Arabidopsis thaliana: one gene and its partner. The protein of the gene in region 2 interacts with the protein of the main gene of each other region in a pairwise test. Each region holds a gene or a part of one and is shown on either strand. Other genes may lie near its edges. The genes, in order: AT2G21380 and AT1G61590.

Region 1 (7,613 bases), on a different chromosome or scaffold from region 2:
CTTGGGCAGTGAGGAACCAACATGCAACAGTTAAAAAGGAATATAGGAACACAGTGATAATCAGATCTAAATAACAAACTTACATCATCTTTACCAGCAGAAATGCTGCGAGAATGAGCTGGTGTGTCACCTAAATATCCAGGAATAGAATTCTTGGTAGAGACAAGTATGAGCTTTGTAAGCTTTTGGATTCTACTCATTAGAGCTGCTTTAGCTTCTTCTTCTTCCTCCAATCTTGATTGCATCTTCACTTGACCTTCTTGTAGCTGTTAATAAATTGATAGCTCGATCTATTCACCAAATAGGAATAAACTCAAACATTTATGAAATAACAAGGTCTCGGGGAGGTTAGAACCTGTTGCTTTAGGCTCAATAACTCTTCGTGACTGACACCAACTAGCACACCCCTTCTTAGCTGATCAAGTTCGACTTTGAGGGTCGAGATTTCTTTCTGATATTTCTTAATCAATGACTTCTCATCTATGATCTGTTGCAAGATATGAAACAATGTATTTTTTAGCCGAATTTTAGGTTATGCCATCAATAGAAGTCAAATACTTCTTCTTCTTTTTTGTATGAAAAAGCCAAGTACTTCATGACCAAAAGCCTAAGAAATGACCTTATTGCGTGAGGCATTAATTTCAATTCTCTTTGCCCTGCTGGCAAACTTCAAAGTATTATGAGTTTCCTCGGTACTGCTTGACGCAGGAGTAACTGTACATATGAGCTACAAAAGTTTCAGAAAATAAAATTTTAATTAGCTTCTGCTCATTGCGATTTTAAAATTAAGATCAGCACACAGCGTATATTAGATAGCCAATAAATACAAACAAACCAACATTGCCTTAAATATGCTACTGAAGACAACACAATTAGACAATCTGAGATAATCAACCGTGTGAAAACTATTACAGTAAAATGGGAAATATTCACCAGATACAGAAGAGTCGTACCGATACATGCCCATGCCCACTCAGTGAAGATTGCAGAAGACGAGTTAGCTTAGAGTCCCGAAATGGGACATGAGTTGTCTTGCCCTCAGTCAGTTTTCCAATCACCTACATATTTGAACCATGAGATATAGTTTATAATCAAAACATCCTAAAATCGATTTCAAAGGTTAGGTGACTAGAGATGTTATCCTTGACATAAGGACACAAAAAGGGAACAGGCTTATCAGAAAATAAAGGCATTGATCATTAAGATACACTAGCAAACCAGGTTGTTCTTCTAAGGCAGTTTTGCATTATACTTAATTCTGATTTATATCATATTATAACTGAAAAGGAAATATCTGACAAATAAAAGAAAGCTCCAACAGAAAAGAGACACCTACAGTTCCAAGAGTCAGAAGACTCTTGTTGATGTATGCACCCTCTTTCCTCCTCAGTCCCGTTGTCTCAGTTTTGGAACTCTCAGATCCAGCTAAGTCAATCAAATTCTGAGCAAGAAAGAGACACTGTGAGAGAGCTGTTTATAAGACGAGAGAACTTATGCAATGAAAGAAGAAAGAAGCCCTTACTAGCTGAGAAAAAATAACTCCATCATATTGGTCTCCATGAGCACTACTTTCAATCATCTGCAAACAGAAAATACTTGAAATTGAAACTTAAAATGCATAGCAAGGACATTTGTAAGAGAAAAAGTATCTAAAGGACATTGAGAGGATCAAGGGTAAGAAAATGGGATGTTCACAAGATTGAAAATGTACCAGTGTAAATATTGTGTGACTTCTGCTGCTCATCAGGTTGAAATTATTTGAACCAACATGACGATGTTCTGCCATTGAAGATCAAAAGTCAAAACAGTAATAAAGGAAACGCAAATAGGAATATTTTGAAAACATGTCTCAACAATAATTTTTCCAATTACCTTCCCCAGCTGCAATGAAAGATAACGCATGGCCTGGAGACAAAACGACTTCTTCCTTGATACCCTCAACGTAAGTGCCCTATAAAAAAATATCCCCTCTAGATCAAACCAAGGTAATCCATAAAAACAGGATGGATGTAACATGGACTATTCATCAAGTATCATATTTGTTATTGTTAAAGTGAAAATAATGAAATCATACAAACAAGCAAATGCTCTTGTTTGATATACATATGTAATCATGTGTGAGAGAAAGAGAACAAGATGGAAACCTGGGAATCCTCTCTAATACGTAAATTTTGCCCTGTTGGATCCAGTAAGTCATTTATCACCTGATAGAAGGACAAAAATAAGATAACTTGCAGACAGATGGACATATAAGCAATTAAGAACACTCATCTAAAATATAAGACATGATGAGTTATATCACATGTTACCAAAAAAGGAGATACATCATATTTACTTCAACGTGAGGGGAATAGGAAACTATATATGACTATATGAGGCTAAAAGCCTTAACTTCATGGTTTATTTATTGTGTCAGTAAACGCTATTACATTATGGAATGAAATTTTTTGCATACCTCATTGTATATTTCAAGATATGAAACACGGAGCAGAAACTCTCTTCCGGTGGTCTGATATTTAGAATGATGTAAGAAATTAGCAGATATGACACTGTAATAGATGCATTAAGAACTTTAAATCAGTAAGGACCATATAGTTTTTAAGTTGAAGAAGATCCCTTACTTCCTGAATGATACTGAACACGTCTTTTATTGCTAATGGTATGATTCCAGGAAAATCTTGATCACCCTATGCAGATTGCAAATGAAGCAATGGTTAATTATTAACAGCATGTATAGCTGAATCTCTGATTGTTTGATGGAAATCCAAGATGCATATGATCACGTGATGATTTAAGAAGAGATCATTTTGGTCAATCTTAATCAAGATCTTCTCTACTTTTTATCAACACAAGCATGTCAATCAAACATTTATCAGCAACTATAATCACCCAGTGTGTGTATGATATCGTATATCTTTCACATCACAGTAAACGTTGTATAACGAAATGGTGTATAGCGTGTATTTTTCCAAAACACTTACATGCATTGTATGTGTCTTTCCACTGCTTGTAACACCATAAGCAAAAACGGTTCCTGTCAAATTGCAAACACAGAGTCAGAATACTTCCCTGCAAGTAATGCTACTAGCAAATGAGTTGGCTAAAAGTATTTCAATGACAAACACAACTCTTGTTTAATCGATAACACAGCTATAAGCCTTACCGTTAACACCTTCCATAGCAGCCTTGACTACAGGTTTAGCAGCTACGTCATATACTTCTGGAGTTGTTGACTGTGGTCCAAAAACTTTATCTGGCATCAACAAATATGGAAGAACATTCATTGAACAAACGGAGGCGACCAAATCTATAATCAATGAACAGTAAATTGAAATTATCTCCGGCAATAAATTGATCTCAATACCAAATGCGTAAGCTGTGAGGGGATTGTATTCATTCCTGACCATCTTATCTGCGTCAGGATACCAAACAATCTCATCTCCTCGTTGATACTCCCTCTCACTGCAATCAAACAAATAACACGGGAGATTTTCAAAATTGACTAAGTATCAATTCACATTTCATAAATATTAAACTTCTAAAGAAGAATAATCGTGAAATTGTATCAAATGGATCTGATATTCCGCTTCCAGATCTACCGTACCTCATCGGACGAAATCGAACGGTGACGGAGATGCTATCTCGCTCAGAGGTAATCGTCTGCCCAGACTCGCCAATGAGCCCCTCCGATGGGTACGATTGGGCTCCATAAGTCCCGGAGCCGCCGATGGGACCGGAATCGGAAATGGTGCGAGTAATCGACATAGATCGGGACCCGGTTACACCGCCGGAATTGTAAACGGTAGAAGTAGGTGTGGAAGAAGAACGAGGTAATAGACGATTATTTATAAGAGACGAAGAAGTAGACGAAGCCGAAGAGTAAGGACTCGGAGGTCTACGGTGCGAGAAAGGAGAACGACTCCTAGTTCTAGACGACGATGAAGCCATCCACTAACTCGTTCAAACTCGGTTACGGACTCGGTAAAAATCTGAAAATGAAGATAGAAAGAATCAAGCAAAAGAAAAAAACACCAAATGTGAAGATGGAGAGAATGTGTCAGTGGAAACTCACATGGCTGGGGACAGAAAAAGCAATATGCTCTTCATCTTCTTCGTCTTTCTCTCACTTCTCTCTTTCTTCTTCTTCTCTACTTTTCCATGGTTAAGCTACGCGAAGGTGAGAAAAAGATAGTGAGACCACACAAGGAGAGAGCGATTGTTTCGTCTTCTTCACGCGACGGTGGTGAAGAGAGAGATAGAGAGAAATCGATTGGAGATATTTTTTTTTGGTGAAAGCGTCTTTTTTTCAGATTTTGAATTTTTGATTAATAAAATATATTTGTTTTTACTGTGTCGCTAATAGATTCGAACGTGGTTGAGGATTAAAATAAAATAACCGCGAACCGGGTTAAAAGGTTTTCGAAACAAATTGAATGAACCGAACGAGCGGGAAGAACGATGGGTTAGTAAAAATGGAGGATTTCAATGTTTTTGTCCTTTCTGCCCTTTAATTCGTTCAATGTTTTTGTTCCGGTTCAACCTAAACCAAAGAAAATGAAATCCTAGTGAAATATGTTCAATTTTAAGTTTTTAACCGAATCAGTTAAAAAATAAATTAGGAATTGTATCCAACACCAAATCTAAAAATAATGAACAGATTTAAAGTAATTTCTCTTAAGGGTCACTCAAAATGTTAAAAAACGTCAATTCCAATGGAACATGATTTGCGACATTATGTTAGATTCTACTTAACTGCAACATGTCGAATAGATTCAGTACTGAATTTAATAATGGCTAAATGAAAGGAAACATTATCCTTAAATAGATGGTGTACTAATAAATCCTGCAAATTGCAAAAGACAAAATTATAACCTAAATAAAAATAAAATAGAAAGTAATCCAATAAAATGGAGTTATTACGAGCACGTATATCTTGCTTCTATAATATTAAACACTTATGTTACACACACATTGAATATGTGGGTCCTTATTCCCTAATACCAAGTAGTTTACGTATATAGAGTGTGATTGCTTCTCGAAGGTAAAGTAGCAGTGGCAAAGAAGTTGTCATATCTCCCACTTCTTGAGCTCCACCGCACATCTGGCTCACACGTGCATGCTTTTCACAATGAAATCCAAGTCATGTTTTCAGCAAAAAATCATTTGTAGTTTTCCCAAGTATCCAAAGACAGATTTTTAGACGTTCCGATTTAATGAATAAGGATATCAACAGTACTTGGGACACACCAAAACCAACCTTCATCTTCATGAATTACCACTAGACCACGACCCATTTGGTTCATATGCAAATGGAATGTTGTTATTTTTAGTTTTGCGTCTTAGTGCTATGATTTCAATATTCTGTAAATTTTTAATTAGACAAAAATTGCTTGGTATATATAGCATTTACATGTAAATTTTTTAAAGAAAACTTGTGTGGAACAAAATATGGTGCCAGGAGAGAGGGATTGTTGTCATCATTATTGGTCGTGGGCCTACAAGGGTCCAAATATGAAGATCCGCACCCATAATCTGAGCCGTTAGATGACCAGAGAACGTGCAGCCCAACTGCTTGGTGTTGAGTGGAGTAAAATAAATAAAAATAATATGGAAGGCTAAAATGGTAAATTCAAATCAAGAGGAAAAAATCGAGAAATCCAACGGTCACGAACTTGCTAGCTCCCTTATCTATGGAGTTTAGAAGAAAGCAGCCTCAGAAGGAAAAGAGAGATGCTGATTCTTCGTCAATTTCAGATATCTTCATTTGAGCTCTTCCAATCTCCAAAACAAACAGGTAAACATGAAGATTTTTCGATATAATGGCGTTTATTAGGGGTTTTAGGAGCTGAATCATTTATGATAATGTTAATCTCAGGGTTTTACTCTAGTTCAAGGAGTGTTCCTCTACCCAGAACTAGATTTTACTCCGATTTCAGAGTTATGAGTGGCAATAAAGGAACGAACTATGAAAAACTTTATCTGGGTATGGATTTTGGTACTTCTGGAGGTCGATTTACAGTTATTGATGAGCAAGGAGAGATTAAAGCACAAGGCAAAAGAGAATATCCTCCTTTCATGGTAAAACTTTTGCATTAAGTATCCTTGTATATATATCATATACAATTTCTGAGCTGCTTTATGAACAAAATCAAGAGAAAGCTATGGACTGAGACATTTGTTTTGAAATCTAGATAGAAAGAAGAAAGCATGGGTTGGGCAAGCTCATGGAAAGCAACTCTTTTTTCGTTGCTAGAGGACATTCCCGTCACAGTTCGCTCCCTCGTCTCATCCATTTCGCTTGATGGAACTTCTGCAACTACTCTCATCTTAAACAGGCATGTAATTCACCGGATCACTTCTCTTTTCTGTTTCTGTATTCCATTTACATTAGAGGATTTGATGTTTCAGTAATGTGTTGTTTAAATCTCCTTTGCTTATTCAATTATGTGTTGCAGTGAGAGTGGAGAAGTTCTGTGTCAACCTTATCTCTACAACCAGAGCTGCCCTGATGCTCTGCCAGAGGTCAAGTCTATAGCGCCAGCAAACCATACAGTCTGCTCTGGTACTTCTACCTTGTGCAAACTTGTCTCATGGTGGAACACTGAGGTGCCAAACAGAGAATCAGCGGTATTGCTGCATCAGGCAGACTGGTTGTTGTGGTTACTTCACGGTAGACTCGGAGTGTCAGATTACAACAATGCCTTGAAGGTAACACACCATGAAGTATTTACTGCATTTAGGCAGAAAGTGTAGATTAATAGGCTGCTAAACAAGGAAATGTGACTCATCAAAGTGCTTTCCTATTTTGGATTTGAGTGCAGGTGGGCTATGATCCTGAGAGTGAATCATATCCATCATGGTTGCTAGGTCAGCCTTATTCTCAGTTATTACCTAAGGTGCAAGCTCCTGGAACATCAATAGGCAATCTGAAAGAAAGCTTTACAAGGCAATTTGGTAAATATTTCTGATGTCTAAAAAAAAAAATCGATGAAAAGAAAAATAGATTTTCAATCTTCTTTTTGGCTTGACCAGGATTTCCAGATGATTGCATTGTCTGCACCGGTACTACTGATAGCATAGCTGCATTTCTTGCAGCACGCGCGACTGAACCTGGGAAAGCAGTGAGAACTCTGCAATACTTTCGGATTGCTAATTATATCTCAGCTATACACTTAACCGTTTCATGTGAAAAAGCTGTACTGTGAGGGACATATTGATGTTTGTACCATGAAATGATTCTTTTCTATGATTATTTGTCAAAGGTAACTTCATTGGGTTCGACCTTAGCCATCAAACTTCTCAGCACCAAAAGAGTTGATGATGCGAGGTATGGAGTCTACAGCCACCGCCTGGATGACAAATGGTTGGTCGGAGGAGCTTCCAACACTGGTGGAGCCATTCTCAGACAGCTCTTTAGTGACGAACAGTTAGAGAGACTGAGCCAAGAAATCAATCCTATGGTCGGATCTCCTCTAGATTACTATCCTTTGCAAAGCAGCGGTGAAAGATTTCCCATTGCTGATCCTAACTTGGCTCCCAGGTTTGTCTGCCTTTCTCATGTTCTCACAGGTGTCTCAAACGTCCCTTAAAGCACGTAAAACACTTTTCTTTCT
Region 2 (7,904 bases):
AACTTTCCCAACCCGGTATACCTTCTTGTTCATTTCAGTACGGTGATGGTAACCGTTTTGTCCAGCTCTAGCCACCGTGTAGGAGACTCTAGCTGGATGCCAAGCACCGATACAAGCAACCTTGCGAAGACCACGATGAGTCTTTCTTGGAAGTCGGGTCACTCCCCATCTTGTAACCACACCTTCATAACCTTTTCCTTTGGTGACACCAATGATATCAATCATTTCATCTTTCTGGAAGATGGCATCAACTGGGACTTGTTTTTCAAATAAACTGCAGGCATAGTCAACTTTCTTTGCTATATCTCCACCATTGATCTGAATCTCATTCAGATGTGCCTTCTTCTGCTTCAGCCCTTTCATTTTCCTTATCTAAAACATATCCAACAATCGTAATCAGAAACAAATGAAATTTGCAAAATGATTGTGAATTTGAAGTAAATGGCATACCTGAGTGTGAGCAAGAACTCTGATGACAGAGCAGTACTTCTTCATCTTCTCCAATTGACTTTGAATATCTTTTTTCCCTTCTTCAGTTTCATGTTTCTTAGAATATCTAGTGAAAGCCTTCTTCTTTGACTTGGCCCAGTTCTTGTAGAACCTCCTTCTCAATTCTTCGCTCAGATGCTGAGCCCACACAGTGCATAGAGACCGCAGACCACGAGGTGTCTTTACATAACCAACCACACCAACAACCACCATTGGAGGTGTCTCAATGATCGTCACAGCTTCACATGTTTCCTTCTTGTGTAGTTCTGTCAACAATATTAATAAAAAGTTAAGTACAAAACCACATGCAAAAATTAAGACTTGATAAGAGAAGAGAGTGAGAACACACTTGATCCAGGTTTTTCAACATCTCTCACAATGTGAGTCATCCCAGCTTTGTATCCCAAGAAGGAGGTGAGTCTGCAAGGCTTAGTTGGATCATCCTTAGGGAAGGCCTTCACTGGAAAAACACAATCAAGGAATATAAGAACAACACTACATAGAAGCATACACAAAACATTTTTGACATCAAAGAAAACCTCAGCTCATTCTACTAAGTACACAGAAGTAGCAATAAATAGGTGAATAGATGAAATTACCTTTCCCACGGTGTCGGCTAGCTCTTTTCCTTGGAAGGAAACCCAAAGAACCATGTCTTGGATGCTCAAACTTTCTGTGAGACATTCTTTCAACCAGAAACAAATACTAGAAAATAAGATAAAAACTTATAAACACAGCAGATAACATCTAACAAATCCAATGACAAAACCAAGCAAGAACAAAAAGGTCCCATGTACTCAAGCAAAAATCTCATATCAATGAACACCAACTATTACCAGACTACATATTTAAACTATTAGCAGAAACCCCTATAACAATCTAATAGAATCAATCGAATCAGGTATATACAAAAATCAGGACTTTGCAGAGAAATTATGACAATAGAAGATATACTCTTAAGGAATTCTGGAAAAATGAAACGAAATGTTCCCTCGATCAAAGGCCGATGGTATCATTTAAGATAAACCAAATCTCAAGCTCTATAAGAGTGTTTCTCACTAAAAAATCAGATAAATCTGGATTCTAGCAAAAGAGCTGATTCAGAGACTCCGGCCTTGATTTTATAAAGTATCTCCGAGGGTTCTCATTTTGAATCATAAACCAGAACTACCTTGAGAGTATATCATAATCAAAACACACATTTTTACAACATACTACAAAACTTAAGCAGCTAGAGAATGTGAAACTATGATCAACCAAGGCAAATTACGAAAATTTAACAGACAAAGCGCACATAAATTGAAACCTAATGATGAAAATCAAATGAGGTAAGAGATGAACCAGTGTCCTGATTCCTGAAGCAAGATCGAAAGAATCAAGAGAAACTTTATGTACCTTTAAGTCGGCGATATGAGTAGAGATATTAATGTTTGGGGTAAAATGAAAACTGAAATAAGGTATTTATACTTTCTCTGAAACCTAGGGCTTCTGAATTACGGGTTACGCCTTCTATGGGCTTGGCTTATGGTTAGGGTCAAGTAGCCCGGCCCATTTAGTTTTAATTAATTAGCATATATCCAAAATATTGCATTAAAACTATTTAAAAAAAATTCTAGAATCTGATCAAATGAAAGAGTGTATTTAAAAGACCTCAATCTATTACGCAAACATATGTTAGATGATATGATATTACTAGATCCAATTAAGTGATACTATACACCATGAATGATCTACAGATGTGATATTCACAATGAAAAACGCAAAACTATATCAAAGCCAATTGGATTAAATATTTTATACGAAAACCCTAATCTACAATATTTATATATTCATATCATTGTTTTTTCTTAGTGAGAGTCATATGTCTCTCACTATGTCACTCTTAGACGTATGACCGTATACACACATACACACACACCACATCACACATGTTATTTTCTCTCTTTTTTTATAAGGTCATTCAACCCTAAGTTCACGATCTTAACGAACCCGGAGCTGATTTTCTACCACTCCGATGATCCCCTCGAACCTTCGGGGAAACCTTCCCGCCCTGAGATTTAGGAGACAGTGGCCAATGACCAGAAGAAACCGCCATGTCCTTATAATGTATGAGACTCTCTAGAGCTTCCACAACGGCAAGCATTTTGGGCCGGTCTTTAGGGTTTGGGCTCACACATTGTAAGGCTAGAAGAGCTGTATCTTTAGCCGCCTTGACGGAGTATTGTCCAGCGAGCCTCGGGTCCATAACACATCGGAGTCGGCGGCTGCTTGTTAGATAAGGCTTTGACCAGTCGATGATGTTCTGCTGGTTTTTTGGCCGTGACTTTTCTGTGGCTCTTCTTCCCGTTAGGAGCTCGAGTAAAACGACGCCATAACTATACACGTCACTCTTTGTTGTTAAATGCCCTGAAAATAATGCTCACATGCGTTAGATAATTAATCAAAATTAGATTCTGATTACACCATGACTATGTCCACTCTTATTAATAAAGCTCTGTTGAGTTAAGAAAAGAAAAATTAATCAAAAATTAGAATCCCATAAAATTAATTAATTCCTATTCATTCAAATTTTGACGCATTACAGATTTATATGTTTTACTTATTTCTATGTTCTGTGTAATCCTCAAAATGACTCTATCAAAATGGTCTCTTTGTAAGAGAAAGCAATGGAAGATATATATATGAGAAGGAAACTATATCCTTTTTTTTAAAAGGACCCTAATGATTTGAATAAATACTGAAAAAACAGACAATGAAATCATTGTGTATAAACCTGTTGAAACATATTCAGGAGCAGCATAACCATAAGTGCCCATGACTCGAGTTGTGACATGAGATTTGGATCCTTCTGGTCCCATTTTTGCCAACCCAAAATCTGAGAGTTTTGCAGTAAAATCCTGAAAACCCCCATGTAATAATAAGAAAATATATTTTTGAAGAATGTATTTAGGATAATTTTGTACGCTGAAAAAAAAAAAATCAAACTAAAATTAGTAAATTACCGAATCAAGTAGTATATTAGAAGTTTTGAAATCACGGTAAATGATTGGACTCTCCAAATCATGCAAAAACGCCAAACCCTTAGCAGCTGCGACCGCTATCTTCAGCCGCGTCGCCCACGGCAACGATAGTGATATCCCTGACAATTTAATTACGTTAATATGAAAGTAAAATGAAATACTGATCACTTAATACAGTAAAAATTACATTAAGATACGAATTAAATTTTAATTATTAAAAATGTTCTTACGTCTGAAGAGGTGATTTTCTAGGCTACCACGTGGCATAAACTCGTAGATGAGTACTCGTTCCTCTTCTTCGCAGCAGTAACCAATAAGTTTGACTAAATTCGGGTGTTTTAGCTGTCCAAGAAATATGACCTCAGACTGCATATGAACCAAAAACATATTATGTATCAGATGTTTTTAATTAATTATATTCTTAGAGACTAAATTAAGATGATAGGTGTATATAAGAGTATACGAAAGTGGTCTAACCAACTCTTACATATATCAGACTAACAAGAAAAAGATTCTCTTACAATGTACGTGACACCAAAAAAAGAAACAACAAGCTCGTATCGTATGCGTACTTAATTAGTCCATATTATGACCAAACACATTTTTTAATATAGTTTCCTAGCCTAAAGTAATTAAAAATAAATGAGTCCAAAGAATCTTCAAAATATAAAAACCATGAGGAGTGGTTTGTAATTTTAGAATAATATTTGGGATGTCCTATAACTTAAACCATATACGTATGCGTAATCAAATGTATGTCATAACTAAATAATAATTACTGAACAGTAACAAGAAAAATAACACAATAATTAGCATGCAATTATTGGTAAACGTTCTTACAAGCCATTCACGATGTCCTTGAAGCCCCTCAATGTCCAATAGCTTGACAGCAACAGGCTGAGCCTTGAGACTTTGTCGGAGATAATCATCAACATAACCTTTATACACTTTACCGAACCCACCTTCTCCGAGAAGATAGTTCCCGGAGAAACTCTGAGTGATCATCTTGAGTTCACACATCTGAAAATCCACTAAGTCGGCTCCAAGAGTCTGTGCAAGATCTTCATTGATCCTAGCCGAAGAAGAACGGCTTAGATCAGCAAAGGAGAGTCGCCGAAAAGAAGGAAGTGGTCCGAGATGGTTCTTGGAGAATTCTGATCTCGAAGGTCGGCAACGGCTGAGATTGCCAAAGACGGTTTGGTCATCAACGGAACAACAGTTTGAGGCAAAGGGTTTCCATAACGGTGAGGATTTGGTGGATGCAGTTGTTGAAGAGTCTCTCATTGGATTTAACTAAATGTTTTTTTTTTTTTTGTGTTGTAAGATTTTAGGAGGCAAAACAATGATGGATGGGTTGGGTCTTATTTATACATATGAGATAGGGACGGACTATGCTTATATAAGTATAATAAATAAATGTAACTATCATATAGGTCACAATGTAATACGTAACGGTTAATTTATGACACTTAAATGTATATTGCATGATCGTGTTTTTTTTGACACGATATTTGAATTCGGATACTTTGATCTAATGGATTTTTGGTTGGTTATAGAAACATTAAAACTATAAAATGTTCTATAGTAGTAACCTCTAATTAAAACCAACAAACTAACAGATCCAATTATACTCATCACATTACAGTATTTCCGAAAAAAACATGGAAAAATAAATTCAATAGTTTTGCAACTTTTGCTATCTAACTTTTAGACTCACACAAACTTATTATTTGAATAACGATTAGAAAATGTGAAATAGCGGTTTTGTTTTCTAGCTTTCGATTAAGGATAAGCTGATAAATAAAGGATGAAGAGGAAAGAGTAGGGACGTTCTTTCATCAACTGCCCTAACCACTCTACTCAAAATTTGGGGTTTTGCGTCATGATGTCTTCTCTTTTGACTCCATTGTAAAGATATATGTACATGTGGTATCACATTTGACTCGGAAAAACAAAATATATCTTAGTAAATTTGAAGATACAATATTGTTAGCGTAAGCGATTTAAAAATTACGGACTAGTTTGGAGTTATCAAATCATTAACTAATAAGTGTAGTGGATTTGTTATATTAGTCAAACAAGTTGGAGACGATTTTTTAAGGGGAAGCTTTTTTATCACTACATATTTCACTTAATGGCTAAATTAAGATTTTAACTTAGTTTTGGCTCTGAAGATCCAGTTACAAGAGAAAGAGAGATTACGAGAAATTAATCAATTGTAATCAAAGATGTTGTTTGATAAAATTTATAAGTTTTTAGCTTTACGAAATGCCAATAAATGTATATTACGAAAAATGTAGGAGTAGAAAAAACATTTAGTTATGTTGGAATAAATTGATAGATAATGTTTTTAATTTATTTTTATTATGACATAAACCTATTAGGCCATGGTTACGTCTTCGGCCAGGGTTACCTCCACCTCTAACAAAGGTCTATTGCATTTTTGGGTCTTAAGGGTTAGTTAATTTGACTGAATGACAGATCATTCAGGAAAAATTCTCTGATCGGATTTGATATATCCAGAAAGGACTCTGAGTTAAGTGTGAACTTCCATTCCAATAATAGAAATATATTTACTTTAGTTGATCCACAGTTTGGTCATTGACCTATACCCAAATATTTCATTTTATTGTTAAGGAAAATATTTTTATATCATATTACTGTGGGGTTTATAGTGTGTACAAGGATATTTCCTCAACGGATGGTTTTTGGTTTTCAGTTTTGTTTACATCTTAATTAATTTCTTATTATTTTTTCTTGTGAAAAATCATAGGAGCAGTTAAAGTGAGATAATGGATGATGTATGCAGAAATGGATAATGTCTACTATAACAAAACTTTATCATTTCCATTACGCTTCTTCCTGCTCCACTTTTCAAAACTATTGGCTTATTCTACTCCATCTTTTCTTTTTTTTTGTTCCTTGATCAACCATATGTGGTATCCTAAAATTATTTTTTCTTCTGTGTACAGTGTACATATATAGTTTCAAATACAAACCACTTAATAAATTAACTCGAATAGCTAATGTCGATAAAAATTTCTTAACACATCCGCATATTTTCCATGCATGGTTATGGTTCATGATTGTCTTATAAAGTAAGGTTCATGGATATAGACATATAGTTATTGTATGTTTATATCACTTATATGTAAAAATTAGATAGCATGCTCGCGAAGTAACAAAGTAATAGGGTTATAAGATAACAAGTGTTTAAACAAGGACTGAGTATGTTAGTTATTATACGTGATTGAGTATTAAGATGAATGCTTGTGTAAACCATTTTTAGTTTACATGAGACTATGTATAATCAACCTTTCAGAAAAATTTATATGACTAGATTGCAGGCCCGGCTCTAGGGGAGTGCCAGAGGTGCCAATGCACAGGGTCCTCATATTTTTTTTCTTAATTTTTGTGTGTTTTAGTAATAGGTTTAGAAAAAGAATACAGTAAATACATGTCACATAAGGTTATTTTGTTTAGAGTTAAGAGTTTAAAGAATATCATTTTTTTTGTAGCACATGGCCCAATAAAATATTGAGCCGGGCCTGCTAGATTGTTAAGGTTATGTTTGGACATAGATCCACTCAGTCTTGTACTTGTCCTCTTGATCTCTTGAATATCTATCATATTCTATCTTATAGGAGAATATAGTATGTGCACTGCAGGTGATGGCTTAAGTGTGTGCGTGTAAGATTTGACCAAAATAAACGTGTAAACTGTTGAAATATGATTCAACCTCGAGACTACTCTAAATCATCTTGGAGAAGCTTAGACAAAAACTTGAAGACTGCTTGAAGTAGAAGAAAGGAAAAAGAGTAAGTAAACACAAGAATCAACTAAGTGTTAAACATTCTAGTTGATGCAGAGGATTTCAGGGGTTTAAGGAAAAGGCTAAGACTCTGTACCAAGTAGAGATTTTGAAAGGAGCTTATGATGACACTTGTCATCATATGAGAGGAGCTGTCTTAAATCATCATCGACTATAAAACCTGAAACAGAGCGTACAAAGAAGCGAGCTTGGTGATTAGCGTGATCATTCGATTTTAGATCGTTGTGTGCGTAAGAGAGATGATGATGAGAGATATCTTGTTAGAGTCTTCTCAAGTTAGGGTTCATCTCTGATTCATTCTTCTTCTTTGTTCTTCGCTATTTTTCTTCTTCTTTGTAACACGATTGATTTGTAATCATGAGAAAGTGAGAGAACACAAACACTTGTATCTCTTGATCTTTAGTGGATGTTTGAGGGTACCGATCCCTCACGAGACGTACCTGTTGTTGGCAGGGAACTCGTTAAAATCGTTTGTGTCTTTGATTGTGCTTTTTGGATTCGTGAGGTTATGTGTTTCGATTAGGTGGAATCGATGCTTTGTTTCATAACATAAACCATCAAAT

Evidence for each region.
Region 1: the proteins of AT1G61590 (region 2) and AT2G21380 interact in a two-hybrid assay, tested with the Arabidopsis thaliana proteins (one large-scale study listed by BioGRID).

Annotation. Positions count from the first base shown.
Region 1 is NC_003071.7:9,138,168-9,145,780, reverse strand, and holds the start of AT2G21380 (Kinesin motor family protein), read right to left. Parts: upstream 4,307-7,613; 5' UTR 4,073-4,306; exon of another isoform or gene 3,990-4,072; 5' UTR 3,949-3,989; coding exon 3,605-3,948; intron 3,463-3,604; coding exon 3,365-3,462; intron 3,254-3,364; coding exon 3,164-3,253; intron 3,035-3,163; coding exon 2,982-3,034; intron 2,688-2,981; coding exon 2,622-2,687; intron 2,510-2,621; coding exon 2,456-2,509; intron 2,205-2,455; coding exon 2,145-2,204; intron 1,952-2,144; coding exon 1,873-1,951; intron 1,780-1,872; coding exon 1,712-1,779; intron 1,580-1,711; coding exon 1,523-1,579; intron 1,442-1,522; coding exon 1,337-1,441; intron 1,059-1,336; coding exon 954-1,058; intron 728-953; coding exon 620-727; intron 488-619; coding exon 356-487; intron 267-355; coding exon 84-266; intron 1-83. Other genes in the region: XK-1 (xylulose kinase-1), read left to right, coding at 5,731-5,794, 5,876-6,078, 6,196-6,335, 6,456-6,708, 6,822-6,954, 7,033-7,121, 7,263-7,540.
Region 2 is NC_003070.9:22,721,230-22,729,133, forward strand, and holds AT1G61590 (Protein kinase superfamily protein), read right to left. Parts: upstream 4,962-7,904; 5' UTR 4,794-4,961; coding exon 4,350-4,793; intron 3,876-4,349; coding exon 3,740-3,875; intron 3,629-3,739; coding exon 3,492-3,628; intron 3,387-3,491; coding exon 3,263-3,386; intron 2,896-3,262; coding exon 2,462-2,895; 3' UTR 2,139-2,461; downstream 1-2,138. Other genes in the region: RPL3B (R-protein L3 B), read right to left, coding at 1-372, 451-755, 839-949, 1,089-1,173. UniProt on the Arabidopsis thaliana protein: May be involved in plant defense signaling.